Oryctolagus cuniculus: one gene and its partner. The protein of the gene in region 1 purifies or fractionates together with the protein of each later gene. This does not show direct contact. Links are inferred from orthologs where the notes say so. Each region holds a gene or a part of one and is shown on either strand. Other genes may lie near its edges.

Evidence for each region.
Region 2: the proteins of FBXW7 (region 1) and FMR1 purify together in Homo sapiens (affinity purification with mass spectrometry, with the first as the bait; 3 studies listed by BioGRID). This does not show direct contact. The link is inferred for Oryctolagus cuniculus from reciprocal best matches to the Homo sapiens genes FBXW7 and FMR1.

Annotation. Positions count from the first base shown.
Region 1 is NC_091439.1:11,997,077-12,004,854, forward strand, and holds the start of FBXW7 (F-box/WD repeat-containing protein 7), read left to right. Parts: upstream 1-3,119; 5' UTR 3,120-3,638; intron 3,639-7,778. UniProt on the Homo sapiens protein: Substrate recognition component of a SCF (SKP1-CUL1-F-box protein) E3 ubiquitin-protein ligase complex which mediates the ubiquitination and subsequent proteasomal degradation of target proteins.
Region 2 is NC_091453.1:126,459,353-126,467,030, reverse strand, and holds part of FMR1 (fragile X messenger ribonucleoprotein 1), read right to left. Parts: intron 6,045-7,678; coding exon 5,874-6,044; intron 5,784-5,873; coding exon 5,705-5,783; intron 1-5,704.

The DNA.
Region 1 (7,778 bases):
GATGTAGCACGTCTGTGACAAAACAATACAGAAAAGCAAGGAAATGATTTCTCACCGAAGTCAGAATAATGGCTACCTGTAGGAGACAGGTAGAAAGTCACCAGGTGAGGCTTTTTGGGTGCCTGCACTATTCCATTTCTTCAGCTGATTGATGGGTGGCTTTCTTTAAAATTACTCATTATAGTATAAAATTGCTTTATGCATTTAAGGCATATTTCATAATAAAAATGCTAAACATAACTGATACATTGTAGATGGCAGTGCTAGAAGGAAAAAAAGTTGCTACATAATTTCGTGTGCAGTCTGACAGTAAAAACCAAACATATAGAGTAAAAAACACAGATTAGTTTCTCAAAAGAGCTCAATTTCAAGTGCAGCAGTCAAGAATGCTATACTAATATCCCTTTGTTATATTTCCACATAGTAAGTGGATCTTTATCATAAAATGATGAACAAGAGAAAGAACTGTTACCTAAAACTTCGCAATGTTTTGCTATTTTGAAGTAACTAGCATCTTCCCTTCTGGATTAATAAACCATACAAGGAACTAAACGGACGCAGGCCAAGTTGGCAATGTGTGGCCCCCACTTTGGGGGCCAGTTTCCAGCTATTTCCTTGTGTTGTCAAGCTGCATGGTGAGTTGGGTGGATGTTGCTCACTGAGCTAAGCACACCTGTTAGCTCCTAGGTGGGTGGCTCAGGGCTCCACTGAGTGCCATTCTGTCGGTCAGTGCTCAGGTTCTAAGGGAAAGCCACTGGCAATGGAGAGAGACCAGGCTGGTGAGAAGCCGTAGGCTGTACACACTCTTCTGCAGGTCCTCTCTGCTGGGTGGCAGGGCTCTGAGGTTTGAGTGCTCTTTTCGTTCAGAGCTTACAAAGCTTAAACGCTGAGGCTCTCACATAAAATCCCTTAGATTTGTGTTTACCTCTTTAATTTTCCACCATTCCCTGAGATACAACAGGGGAGGGGGAAGAAGACCAGAATGATTTACATTGTAACCACATAGGGCATTGCTTGTAGGTCCCATGCCCTGTCTCTTACTTGGAGGGATGGAGCAGAGGTTTGGGTCTGGTAAAAACACAGGGTAATTAAGGCAGGGCATTTAACGTGGTTCTTGGAATTTCAGGTCAAGGGCAGCAGGAGGGTCAGGTGCTGCTTTTCCAGCCTCACTTCTGCAGTATCCGACACCCCCTCCCCGCTCCCTGCAGCATTTTAATAGGAAACCTTGGATTTACCCAGTTAAAGTGTTCCTCCATTTACGGTTTGCATATGGTGGTGGCCGTAGCGGCAGAAACACGGAGCTTCTTAGATCTGTCTATGGTACGTTTACTGCGATTCTCCCTAAGGTAGAAAGAGCAATACATGCACAGCTGCTGCTCGCAGACGTAAGGTGGGCCACGGTCCAGAGACCCACTGTGGAGTCTGCTTCCTTTCATCATCACTGCTGCTGTACCTCATTCGCACACCACTCCCCGGGGCAGGGTCCAGCCTTTTTCTAGAGAACTCCACCTTAAACTTTATGCATTTTCAGCTGGATGTACTTCCCAGGACAGCATTTGCAGGATGAGCTGCATAATACTAATATTTATTTCAGGAAGGGAATAACTAGCTTTTGATTCAGACCTGAAACACACACTTTTTTAGATGACGGTGATGGACAAAGCTGAACCACCAAGAGCAGCTCTCCAAAGCTCTAAGCCAAAAGCAAAAGTGATTCCCGGCAGCGAGGCACTGCTAAGTTCTGCCCTTGCAAAACAGTCAAAAAATCCTTCCCCAGTCTCCCGGAGCATGGTTCCCTTCCCCCGCCCCAGCAACCAGCCTCCCTTTTCACCGAAGTCTCAAGCTGCGAGTCTCCCTCATTCATTCGTCAAACATTGGCTCGGTCTGACCACACGTTATCCGGCGCCGGGTCTCACCCCGCGCTCCAGGAAGGGTGGGGCGCCCGCTCGCTGGAGCAGGTGCAACGAAGCGGGCTGTGCAGGACTTCTCGACCAGGCCGGCTTTTTTCGAGGGCTTGTTCAGGGCCAGATGCCTCACCTTCGGCAGGTGCGCGCGGGAGTCTGGCCCCCGGGCCTGGGCCTTCCCCCGGTTCCCAAAGGAGCAGTCCCCACCTGCCCCGAAGGAACCCGCTAGAGAGCGAGCTCTCCCCGCCGCCCTCGGGTCAGGGGTAAGCTCAGGCGGCAGCTCAGGCTCCGCTCGGCTCCTCCCCTTCCTCTCTTCAGTTCTGACGCGGCCGTAGAGGCGGCCGCGGTGGTGGCGGCGGCGGCAGCAGCGAGTACCGCGGCCCGAGGCGCACCCACCCGCTCCCGGCTCCCCGACTTCCTCTTCCCTTCGAGCGTCATCAGAGCGCGCCGGAGTCGCCCAGGGCGGGGTGGCTAGAAAGGGAAGAAAAAAAAAAAAAGGCCAGCGAGGAAGCCTCAGAGCGGAAAGGAAAGGGAGGGGGAGAGGAGAGCGGTTGCTAGGTGACTTGCGTCATCGGTCGGCGCCGCTCTCCTCCCGCCCCTCTCTCTGGAGTGAGGCGAGAGCCCCGCACAGAGCGAGGGAGACAGCGAGCAGAGCTCCGGCGCTACTGCGATCGCCGCCGAGAGAGTGAGAGCGAGGGAGCATCGGAGGACCCAGCCCCCGTGCCGTGGCCGCCGCCGAGAACCTCGGCCCCAACCTGGGCCAGCGAGAGCCGCGGCCGCCCTCCTCTCCCCCCCTCACCTTCCCGGCCGGCGGCGGCGGCTGCACACGCCGGAGCCGGAGCCGGAGCCCGAGCCGGAGCCGGCGGCTGGGGGGCAGGGAGACGGCTCCCGCGGCGGGCCGGGACTTGGGAGCTGCTCCGCCGTGAGAGGACCTTGAGCCGGGGGCCGGAGCTTTTGCCTCGTCCCGGGGCGAGGGGCGAGGGACCCCCGAGGTGTAGGGAGGGGGGTCCCAGCCGCAGCGACACATGCGGGAACCGGGAGCGGGGGCGGCGCCGAGCGGAGCCGGCCGGGTCCCCAGCCTCGCGGCCGTCTCGGCCACCCGCACGGGGCCGTAGCATCTTGCCCCGGAGTGTATGAGCCGGGAGGGCCCCGAGCTCAGCCACCACCCCCCGGCCGGGGGGGCGGGGACCCCAATGTGAAGCGGCGGCTGGGGCGGCGGGCAGAGCAGGACCGGCGCCGCCGTCCTCTCCTCACCCACCCCTTCCCCTTCGCCCCCTCCGGGGGGAGGGGGTCTTTTCCTTCGGCCTGTCGCCGGCCCCCCGGCTCCTCGGCCCGGACTCCGGGAGGAGTTCTTAGAGCCCCCTCCCCCGCCCCAGCCCCCAGGGCGGCGGGGCCGGGGGGGATCCGGGGGGCCGGCCGCAGCCTCCACCCAGAGGAAACTTTTATAAGAACAAATTCTGGAGCCTCCCAGACGTGACTGTCCCGGGACCAGTGGCCCTGGACGGGCAGAAATCACAGCCTGAAGAGACCCAGGAAGAGGAAAAGAGGTGATCGGGGCCGCCGCCTCCTCTCCCCCCACCCCGGCGGCGCGGAAGAGACCCGGGTGGCCGCCTGCTTGGGCGACACGAGCAGCGATCGCTTCTTCCTCTGTAGCGAGCGCGCCGGAGCCTGCCGCAGTCCGGAGCAGGAAGGGAACCAGCCCGCTCTCTCAGCGCCACGGCTCTTCTCTAAAGTGTGAGTGGTCCTTCCGGAGAGGGGCCGAGGGGGGGGCCGGGGGCGGGAGGATGCCGCAGAGGTTTGTGCAGATGTTTTCCAGCGGCGCGGGGAGTGTGTGTGCGCCCCTTCTTCGCACAGGACGGCTCTGGGGTTTGTTGCCGTTGAGCTTGGACGAGCAATGCCAAGCGTGCAGGTTTCTCCAAGGAGGAGTTAGTTGTGTTCTCTTCCGGAGTGGGAAAGATTGCACCTCTCCGGGCAGGAGTTGGCAGAAGGGAAGTCGAGGAAGGCAGAGCAGGCGTGCACACAAAGGACATCGCTGTGCTCGCCCTTTTCCTGGTGGCAGGGACTGTGGGATGGCGCCGGAGGAGTTTTGTGTAGGGGAGGACCTCTCCCGTGGGTTCCCCCGTGCACCTCTGAAAGTCCAGTTCCTTGATTTGTTCGCAGGCTACCTCGAGGGGAAGCCCGGGTTTCATTTCCATACCTCTCAGTACAGAAGTTTTTAACCTTCTCTTTTCCTGCGTCCAGTTCCTCTGCATGTCAGGAGGACACTTTAACAGATCGCAGTTACTGGGGAAATTCTGGCTTCTTAGGAATCACAGCTTATTTGAGGCAGAGCATTTACTGCATAAACCATTTTATATAGGTTGTTACTCTTCCACCCAAATCCCACATGTGCCCTCTGTCTCTCTCTCTCTCTCTTTTTTGAGTAACAGGTTATAAATGACAGCACTGTTTTATTGGGAGAATGGGTTGAGACTTTGTTGTTTGATTTAGCTTTACTTTAACGATTTAGGAGGAACCTATGAAGCCATAATTCTTACAAGAATGGCTTTTCCTTGCATTATTTTAAAGTTGAAGTCTCTCAAATCTTTGACTCGATTTCAAATGTCCCCTCAGCGTGCCAAGTTAGAGGTACACAGAAGTAGTTAGCATTTCATGTATACAGACCTGGAGGGTTAGGCATCAGGGGGGAATTTTAGGTAACTAGACCCAGACAGTTCTATAGTGAGAGTTATGGTGCCTCCAGACCAGTAGCTGTGGATGGCCTTTCTGAAGTCATTGCTGAGAGATGCTTTGTGGGAATGAATGTATGCCCGGGGTTATCCACCCTAAATTCTCCACTCAGGATCCCGATGAAATTTTTAAAAAAACCTTTTCAGACTTAATGTTTTGACTCTGTACCACTTCTTTTTTAAAGTAATAAGTTCTGCAGATTTATTAGCCTCTGTCTGATGTAAGAATTCATGCATGTATCCCAAACTTACCTCCTTAGGCTAAAAGATGCATCACTTAAGAGCTTGCGTTTTGAGAAATACTAGAATAACCCCAGGTTTCTTGCCTGGTTATTCTTGTTTGCCATCATTTCCCCCCAGCTTTCTGTCTGAGAACTGTTTCTTCCATTTCTTTGACCACTGCCCTTCTCTGGACCTTCTCCAAGCATTTGTTTTTCTGTAGGTGCCTTGTTCTCATTACGCTTTTGTAAGGAACCTTGAAGTCTGTTCTAAGTGGGTACCGACATAAAACGTTGCATAGTGGATTGAATATTAGATTTAGAAGCAGCCAGGTATCTCTGGATGTGTCATCTTTTGTGACTTCGAGTAAGTCACCTTTTCTGTTTCTCACAGATGGACCAGAGAAAAAGCTGGTCTTACATAGACAGCTTTTTGGGAAGGAGAGAGGACAAACCAACAAAGCAAAGTTTGTGGATAATGCCGAGTTTAGGACCTATTTTGATTGCTTTCACTATAGATAAGTTAAGAATGATGGTAATATTTTAATATGTATTTGGGTAGAAATGAGGAAGTATTGGGGGTCTCTGCCTTTGAAGCACTTTTACTTAGGGGTGGAAGAGACAGTTATACAAATGGAACAAGACTACAGGAGAACAGGCCGGTATTAATCTGAGACCACCACGTGTGCCATTGCATTATCCAGTTCTTGCTAACAAGCAGGCTGCTTTTTAAAGGAGAGACTTATTTTGGCTCACAGCTCTGGAGGTGCTAGGTCTGGGGGCTCCTCTGATGGTGGCTTTCTTGTTGGCAGAGCATGCTGCTGCCAGAGGCGGCAGTGAGCACAGCTGTTTGTATTTCACTCCCAGGGTTTACCCTCTGTAGCATAGTTGAATCAAGTTCCCACCCTCTTAGTATTGCTGCCATATGATTTTGGGGGTTAAACTTCTACATGAAATCTCCCCTCCCACCTTGGGGGTGGGAATGGGGTGCTGGTGGTGTTTGATACCTGATAGGAAGTGAATGTAATTTTTTTTTGTTAGGGAAATGTTGGTTTCAGAGCAACTTGGGGTGTCTGAACCAAATCTGGGAAGATCTCTTAGGAAGAAAAGAGTTTGTGGAATTTAAGACTTTTGGAATTGGAAGGTATAAGGCACAGATGTCGTTAGGTAGGTAGTCTGGTGGCAATACTGACAGAGGGAGATTGTTGAGTGGGGTTAAAGTCAGAGTTTGTGTAGGGGCATGGTTAAAGACCCAAGAAGCAGTTGAGAACAGTATTCCTGAGATGATTGGGTAGAAATAACATTTAAGAGCAAAGGTATTGTGCCTGGATTAGGATTTTGTTTTTCCAGGGAAATTAAGGCTATACAGAAGGAATGGTGAAAAAGAAGATGTTTCCAGTATTTTGATATAGTGCTAGTGGTATTTATAAAAAAGAATTTAGAAATAGGGTACCATACTTTGTTTTGAACATCAAATTTTAGGGTTAAAACTGAATACCGATGCAGTTTCAAGACAACAGAAATAGTTTAACAAGTGATATGCTGAAAATGTGGAATTGGGTGTCATTTTTATATTTAGGGTTATGAGAATCCTGATGGGGAGGGAGGAGCTGAAAAAATAAATGTTTTCACGTGAGGGGAAAATCTGTAAAAGTAAATGGAGATGTAGCAAGAACAGGGCATGGATGAGACTCTGCGTAAAATAAATATTTTAAAAGTGGATGTGAAGGAGCTGGTGCTGTGGCTTAGTATGCTAAGCCTCTGCCTACAGCACCAGCGTCGTATATGGGTGCTAGTTCTTGTCCTGGCTGCAACTCTTCCAATCCAGCTCTCTGTTGATGGCCTGGGAAAGCAGTAAAGGATGGTCCAAGTCCTTGGGCCCCTGCACCCACATGGGAGACCCAGAAGAAGCGCCTGGTTCCTGGCTTTGGATCAGTCCAGCTTTGGCCTTTGTGGCCATTTGGGGAGTGCACCAGTGGATGGAAGACCTTCCTCTCTCTCTGTAACTCTGTCTCTCAAATAAATAAAAAACTAAGAAAAAAAATGAATGAGAATTGAGTCAAAAACGGAGGAGTAGGGACTAGTGTTGTGGGTTAGGCCACCACCTGGGACACTGGAATCCCATATGGGAGCACTGGAGTCCTGGCTGCTGGATTTCCTTTTTTTTTTTTTTTTTTTTTTAATCTTTATTTTATTTATTTAAAAGACAGAGTTAGAGAGAGAGAGAGAGAGATCTTCCATCTGCTGTTTTACTCCCCAGATAGCTGCAAGGGCCAGAGCTGTGCTGATCTGAAGCCAGGAGCCAGGAGCTTCTTCCTGGTCTCCCACGTGGGTGCAGGGGCCCAAGGACTTGGGCCATTTTCTACTGCTTTCCCAGGCCACAGCAGAGAGCTGGATCGGAATTGGGGTAGCTGGGACTCGAACCAGTGCCCATATGGGATGCTGCATTTCAGGCTAGGGCTTTAACCCGCTGTTCCGCAGTGCTGGCCCCAGCTGCTGCATTTCCAATCCAGCTTCCTGCTAATACACCTAGAAAGGCAACAGAATATGGCCAAAGTGCCTGGGCCTCTGCCACCCATGTGGGAGACCTGGATGGGGTTCCTAGTTCATGGATTTGGCCTGGTACAGGCCTGGCCATTGCAGCCATTTGAGGAGTAAACCAGGGGTTGGAAGATCTTGCATTCTCTCTCTCTCTCTCTCGCTCTCTCTGGGTGTGTTGTTCTGCCTTTCAAATAAATAAATGAAAAAAGGGAGAGAGGAGAAGACATACTATTTTTGTCCCAGGGAATATGATTCTGTTTTTGAAACAGCTACAAGTTTTGAAGTATACAGATCTCTTCAGATTAAGTTCAGAAGAATATATAGCATTTCATATTTATTTCCTAAATTAATGTTTTTAAACTTTGCCTTGTATTACTCTTTTTTTT
Region 2 (7,678 bases), on another chromosome or scaffold:
TAAAATACACTTTAAATGTGCTGGTACTGTGATGTGTATCACTGTTCCTGTAAATTTCTACAAAATGAATTAAGGAAAAGGAATACAATAGCAAATATGTTTGTTCATTTGCCAATTTGAATTTCTATATGTATCAGATTTAAATCTGCTTCTTTCTCCACAGTAAATATTTCTAAAATTATGTACAGCACATTTATAAAAGATAGCCTAAATTTTAAAATGGCTTAAGTAGTTATACATAGATCTAGAAGGAACATAATTCCTCAGGCCAATGTGTTAACAGAATATTATTCCTGTGCATTAGCAACAAATTATAGCAGAATATTAAAAGGTAAGAAGATTAGTCATAGAGTAAAAGACAAAACAGACTTTACGATAACTCAAAATCACAATGAAAAAGCTTAAAACCAGTTTTATTCTTCAGTAACATCTCTTAAATCTCCAAAGCTTTCAAGTACTAGAAACAAGTAAATAATTATTTTATCATTTTATAAAATTGAATCATATATACCTAAATAAGAGCCCAGTGAAAAAGGCCATCTCACAACAGGATCTTGTAACTTGTGACTCTTGTAATAAGAATGTAACTTGGGAACTCTTGCATGTATGGCTGGTTCAATCCCTTTATAACTTCTCTTGACTGGTTACTGGTCAGTGAACAGAACTGACACCACTAAATCAGGACTACTGATCTAAGTGCTTCTGTCAATTATTTCTGCTCTTTTCTTCAAATCAAAGGGTAGAGGGAGAGAAATTATCTGGAATCTTCCCATATTTTGCTTTCAGTCTACAACACATATTTTCATAAATTAATGATGATTTTAATGTTAACTACAGCTGACTGAATAAAGTAATTCACTATCATGCAATACTTCTTACGACAGCTCCATAAATAAAGATCTGGCTTGCCAAATCCTATAGAAAAACACATTCTGAAAAAAGTCCTGATGTTCCCAGTATTGTAGTGGACGATGCTGAAAACAGAATTCTGGTTTTACTGAACAGAAATGCAATGGTTTGAACAGGAACTAGGATGATTTATTTCAGCAAACTTTCTGGAGAAAGGCCGATTAATTCTGGGATCCTCTTTCCAGGTGGAATCCACTTTTAACATTTAAAAGATAATTCAATCCAATTATACATTACATAGTTATTTCCAAAGCCCAGTGGGCAATTTAGTACAATTCTGCTTTACAAAAAGTTTACACAAATAGATACATGGATAATCTTCCCATTTAATTATTACAACTCTGTGAGATGTATGCTATGATCATATTTGTTTGACAAGTGAAGAACAGAACACCAAGAGGAGCTAAAACAACTGGCAAAAGTCGCACAAATACTGAAAAATGAATGAAGTAAGACCAAAATCTAGATCTAACTCAAATGCCCAGGCACTTCCCTCTACAATCATGCCATACTACAAACTTCAATAAAACTGATAACAAGTTTCTGTCTGTTGGTAATTAAAAAAAAATCCATTCTATTTGAGCTAGGTTTTTTTGAGAAAAGTATTGTTTCTGGTGTTATGCTAATTGCATAGGAAAATGTTTATGATTTTACGAGGGGATCTTCAAAGAGTTCATAGAAAATGTATATTATTAAAAATTAGGCAAGATCTTCAACTTCTTTACACCAAAATAAATTTGTACTAACTTGCTATAAAATATCTGATCAGAATTTAGTTTGAGGCATTAAGAAGGATAAGACACAAATTTAAAGAGTCTTTATCAGAGCAACATGAATTCTGCTAAAACTGAGATACAAACATCAAATTCATGATGAAGTTTTTGGTGGAAGAATGGTGACATCACTGATGCTTTATGAAAGATTTGTGGGGATAATGTCCTAAAAGAATTAGAAATTTGGAAATGGAGAACTCATTTGAAAATGTTTTTTTCATCTACTTGAAAGGCAGAGTGACAAGAAAAGTATTTTCCATCTGCTGGTTTACTCCGCAAATGACTGCAACAGCCTGGGCTGTGCCAAAGCCAGAAGCCCAGAACTCCATCTGGTTCCCTCAAGTGGGTGGCATGGACCCAAGCACTTAATCCATTATCTGCTGTCTACCAGGATTCATGAGAAAGAAGCTGGATCAGCAGTGGAGCAGCCTGGACTCATACCAGCATTCGAAGTAGTGGCTTAAATCCACTGTGCCATAACATCCTCCCTAGGATAACTCACACTAAGAAGAAACAAGATGATGTTGAAAGATGAAGCCTACGGTGGTGGCAAATCATCCACATCAATTTATTTGTGAGGACAAAATTAATGTTATTCATGCTCTAGCTAGAGGATCAATGATGAACAACAAAAACAACAGCGAACACCACAGACTTAAATTGGTTCAGTTCCGGAGTTTGTGGTCACAAAAGGCTTCCATAGCCTTGGCAGCTCATGGCAAGAGCCTCGAGTGATTACTGACATCATACATAAGAGTGTTAATTGTTAAATTAACAACAGGAGTCACTGTGCACTTAAACCCCAATGTAGGACCTCTGTTCTCAATGAGTTGTACTATGAGAATTAACTGCAAAACTTGTTCTCAAACAGTACTTTATATGTTGTGTGTGTGTATGTGGGTGCAAACTGTTGAAATCTTTACTTAGCATAGAGTTGGTCTTCTGTATATAAAGTTAATTAAAAATGAATCTTAATGAAGAATGGGATGGGAGAGGGAGTAGGAGGGGGGAGGAGAGGGGCAATGGGAAGAACCACTATATTCCTAAAGTTGTACCTATGAAATTTGCATTCATTAAATAAAAGCTTTTAAAAAAAAGAATATCTGTGTTTTATACACAAAAAACATTACATATGGGGTATTTTACAGATGTTTGTCTTATTATTCCTGATACGTTTTTATATATAATGGTCAGGTATATGCAAAATACGTCAAAATAAAAACAAAACTTTAAAAATAAAAAAGGTTCAGTTTATACAACTCTTGACTCAAAAGTTAAAGGGCAGAGCCCTCAATGGAAATATGAAACAAGTGGCAGGGCTAGTGCTGTGGCACAGCGGGTAAAGCCGCCACCTGCAGCAGTGCCGGAATCCTATATGGGCGCCAGTGAAAGTTCTGGCTGTCCTGCCGTTCTCTGCTATAGCCTGGGAAACAGTAGAAGATGGTCCAACTCCTTGGGCCCCTGCACCTGCGTGGAAGACCCTGAAGAAGCTCCCGGCTTCTGGCTTCGGACCGGCACAGCTCCGGCTGTTGCGGCCATCTGGGGAGTGAACCAGTAGATGGAAGACCTCTCTCTCTCAGCCTCTGCCTCTCTGTAACTCTGCCTTTCAAATAAATACATTTTTTAAAAGAAACAAACAAGTGGCACTAAGATCCTGAAGCATTTGTTGGATGAATCATAAGAGGAGATGAAACATGGCTTTATTAGTATGGTTCTGACAACAAAGCACAATCAATGCAATGGTTTTCAAGAGGTAGAAATGGTCCAATCAAAGCAAAGAGACTGGTCAAGAACAAAGGTCATGACAACAGGTTTTGGGGTGCTCAAGACATTCTGCTTGTCAACTCTCTGGAGGGACAAAGAATGACAACAACATCTGCTTATTAAGAGTGCTTTGAGACAAAGTTTTAGCCAAAAAAACACCTTGGAAGCTTGACCAGTCTTTCTCCACCATGACAATGCGCCTGCTCATTCCTCTCAAACAAGGACAATTTTGTGAGAGTTTCAAAGGAAAATCATTAGGCATTCACTTCACAGTCCTAATTTCACTCCTTCTGACTTTTTTGTTTCCCAATCTTAAACCATCTTTAAAGGGCATCCAATTCTCTGCAGGTATATAAGATTTCACTGACATGGTTAAATTCTCAGTACCCTCAGTTCTTTAAGGGATGATATAAAATGGTTGATACCATTGCTTACAAAAGTGTTTCAAGCTTGATGGAACTCATTAAGAAATAAAACTTTTTTATTTTTATCTTTTAATTCCATTTTTTTACATGAAGTTCCCTTGTATGCTACCCAAAAGCAGGCTTAGTGGCACTGAAATTATGTAAACAAAATACATAGTAAGACCACACATCACTTTCTACAATCAGCCAAGATCTCAAGTAAAAAGATAAAAGGTATTGACAGGGGTCAGTGTTGTGGTGCAGTGAAAATAAGCCATTGCTTACAACAGCAGCATCCCATATCAGAGCGCCAGTTCAAGCCCTGGTTACTCTGCTTCTGACCCAGCTTCCTGCCTGGGAAGGCAATGGGAGATTATGTAAGCACTTGGGCCCCTGCTACCCATTTGGAAGTCCAGGATAGAGTTCCTGGCTCCTGACTCTGGGCTGGCCCAGCTCTGGCTACTGCAGCCATCTGGGGAGTGATCCAGTTACTCTGTCTTTCAAATACATAAATAAATCCTTTAAAAATGTATAGGTAGCATATTCCAATTCTATTTATAAACTAAAAACATAAAACCTATGTAGCTTTCTTGAGGAAAATACATCTGATTCTGACAAGATCTACTAAAGATACCAATACCACTTGGGAATATTGGTGAGAATTTCCTAGATATTTGCTGATATTCAAGGTGGTAATGGTCATGAAACAATACTCAAGTCAAAATGAAGAACTGCCATTGGCTTTGCAGGAAGTTTCAGAGACATCTGATATTAGGTACATTCAGATCTTCAACCTTGAGATAATTAAAATGATTTTTACTGGAGCAAGCATTGTGGCGTAGAGGGTGAAGCTGCCCCTGCAACACCAGCATCCCATATGGGTGGTGGTTCAAGTCTCAGCTCCTCCACTTGCAATCCAGCTCCCTGGTAACAGCCTGGGAAAAGCAGCAGCAGAGGGCCCAAGTGTTTGGGACCCTGCCACAATGTGAGAGACCTGGAAGAACCTCCTGTATCCTGGCTTCAGCCTGGCTCAGCCCTAGCTGTTGCAGCCATCTGGGGAGTGAACCACCAGATGAAGATTTCTCTGCCTCTATGTCTCTCCCTCTATATAACAGACTTTCAAGTAAATCTTTAAAAACATAAAATGAATATTATCACTTTATAGCACCATGAAGGAGATCAAATACCAATCTAGTCCAAATTAGAAAGTCTCCATTCATTTTGTAAAATCGTAAGATAAAGAGGCCAGCATTGTGGTAAAGTGGGTAAAGCCACTGCCTGCGATACTAGCATCCCATATTGGTACCATTCGGTGTCCTGGCTGTTCCACTTTCAATCCAGCTCCTTCCTAATGGCCTGGGAAAGCAGCAGAAGATGGTCCAAGTGTTTGGCCCTTCCCATCCACGTAAGAGCCCTAGAAGAAGCTCTAGGCTCCTGGCTTTGGCTTGGCCCAGCCCTGGCCCCTTGGGACCATCTGGGAAGCAAACAAGTAGGAGAAAGATATTTTTCTCTCTCTTCTTCTCCCTCCCCCTTATCTTTCTGTATCTCTTTTAAATAAAATAAATAATCTTAAATATATATAGAGCAAGAAGGATAAGTAAAATGTATCCTTTCAGGCATTAGTAGGTTTGATCTAGCAAAGCACTCTCTTTTGCACATCTTCTGAAAATATAATCTTTTGAGTATTACACTGATCAAACATTTTTGGTACACTATAGCAACAGACCATACTTTAAAAATCATATTTCAATTAAATAATACCCTTGAGTAAGGGGAAATGAATTTCCTTGGCATATACATTGTTTGTGTAAATTTTGTTTTTCTGGTACATGTTAACAGATATTTCTCACTCACCTACTAAGTTCCTTGGAACTTGTATGACATCTTCAGCAAATTCAAGAAAACTTCTAGCCTTTTTAACTGCATCTTGATCCTAATAAAAACAAGGGAAAGTTTGATGACAAAAATCAGCCAGCTGAAATACTCATTTGAGGTAGAAAAAATTATTTACCAAAATAATTACCTCTCCATAAATATGAAATGTGCAGGTATCTTCATCGAGATCAATAGCAGTGACCCCAGGTACTTTTCTAGCTTGCTGAATATTAGCACCATGAGTACCAATAGCTAGACCCATCAGATCTTCTCGTACAATAAACTGTTCATGAAACCTTGAGGCAAGCTGCCTTGAACTCTGAAGAGAAATGTATATCTGATGAATATGCTTCGTCAATTAATAAGACAATTGTAATCAGGTCAGCCATGTAAGTTATCATGACCCTGTATATCAGGGGCCAGTAAATTAGTTTCAGTAGAAAACTAATTTTGGAAACTATCTCCCACAGTGTAAATACTTTTTAGGTTACTTAATGTCTATACTATTTGATAAATTTTTGTTAATAGGAAAGAGCTTGTTGACAATTTTCCAAAGTTACTTTCAAAAACCTATTTGTAAGTCTGCTTTAGTTAAGTAATGACATCAACAACATAGTAACTAAGAAGCAGAATATATTATGCTCAAATAAAACCCAGCTCATTTGGTCTGACAGACTCCCTGTCACAATACATCTTTATAAAATTTTTTCTTATTTATTAAAGGATATAAATGTATGTTTTTTAAAAAGTGCTTTTTAATAATTTATCAATGGTACTGTGATCTAAGCATCTCTCTGATGAAGTGATGACATTAAAACCCTCTCTTCCTCCCCAAATTCAAGAAAGGAACCATAACATTTGTTGGTAGAGAAGTTAAAAATGAATGATCATAGATCATGTCAAAGATTTAAAAGGAATCCTAGTTTGCATCTGAAACCTAAAATAAGATCAGAGTCTGTAAGACCTAGTGATATAGATCCACGATTAAGTACAATGAGCTCTTTCAAACATTCAGTGGTGATGAAACTAAGTTACACTGCCACCCCAAACTTGTGGATAATCATGTTTAACAAGAGTATCAAAATTTCATGTTTAGTTCTAGCATGCTATTAATGAAAACCAAACATATTAGTGGCTCATGTTGAAAAATGCAAACTTCTCATAAAGTATATGTGGTTCTCTTTAATATTAGTAGTGACAAAAGATAGGCATGCATACTAGTCTCTCATTATTCAACGCACCTGGTAATTTGAATAAATGCACATATCTAGTATAAACAATTTTACAAATAAAACATCTTTTTATTAACTATAAAACATATGAAATACTCCTAGGAATTTCAAAAGGTCATATTTTTTGAGTCCTGGTTCATTAATCTGATTCATTCTTTTCATTGATACTTCATTGATAAATGATAAGCCAAAGATAAGATTACAGATCATTTAAGAATTAGATATGTAAGAGGAGGCATAGAAATATATTTCCTTTAATACTCACAACGAGCAAAGAGGCTGCTCTGCTCTAAAAGTTATGAGAGAATTGCTAAAGAAACCACAAAATTATGAACATAGGGACATTAAGAAAGAATGAAAGCAAAAACAATTAAATAAGACTCCCCATGGCCAGAAGGAAAACAAAGTAGCAAAAGGAGATTTAAATTTTTCCTCTCCTATTAAGAGTTCAGCACTCACACATCAAGTTGGAAGGCAGAAAATTTTACAGTGTAGCTTTGACTACCTTCTCCTTTAAAATGCAGTTTAGAACTCCTTTTTTTTTCTTTACTATTTCAACTGAATGATGTTGTTCCTCTATCAAAATGAATGATGAGGAACTCCTGAGTTTGACAGTAATATACTTCAGTTGGCACATTAAACTAAATCAAGTTTCTATGGCAATGGATGGACATACTAGATAGTTATCAATGAAAATAAATGTATGGTGATGGAAATTATT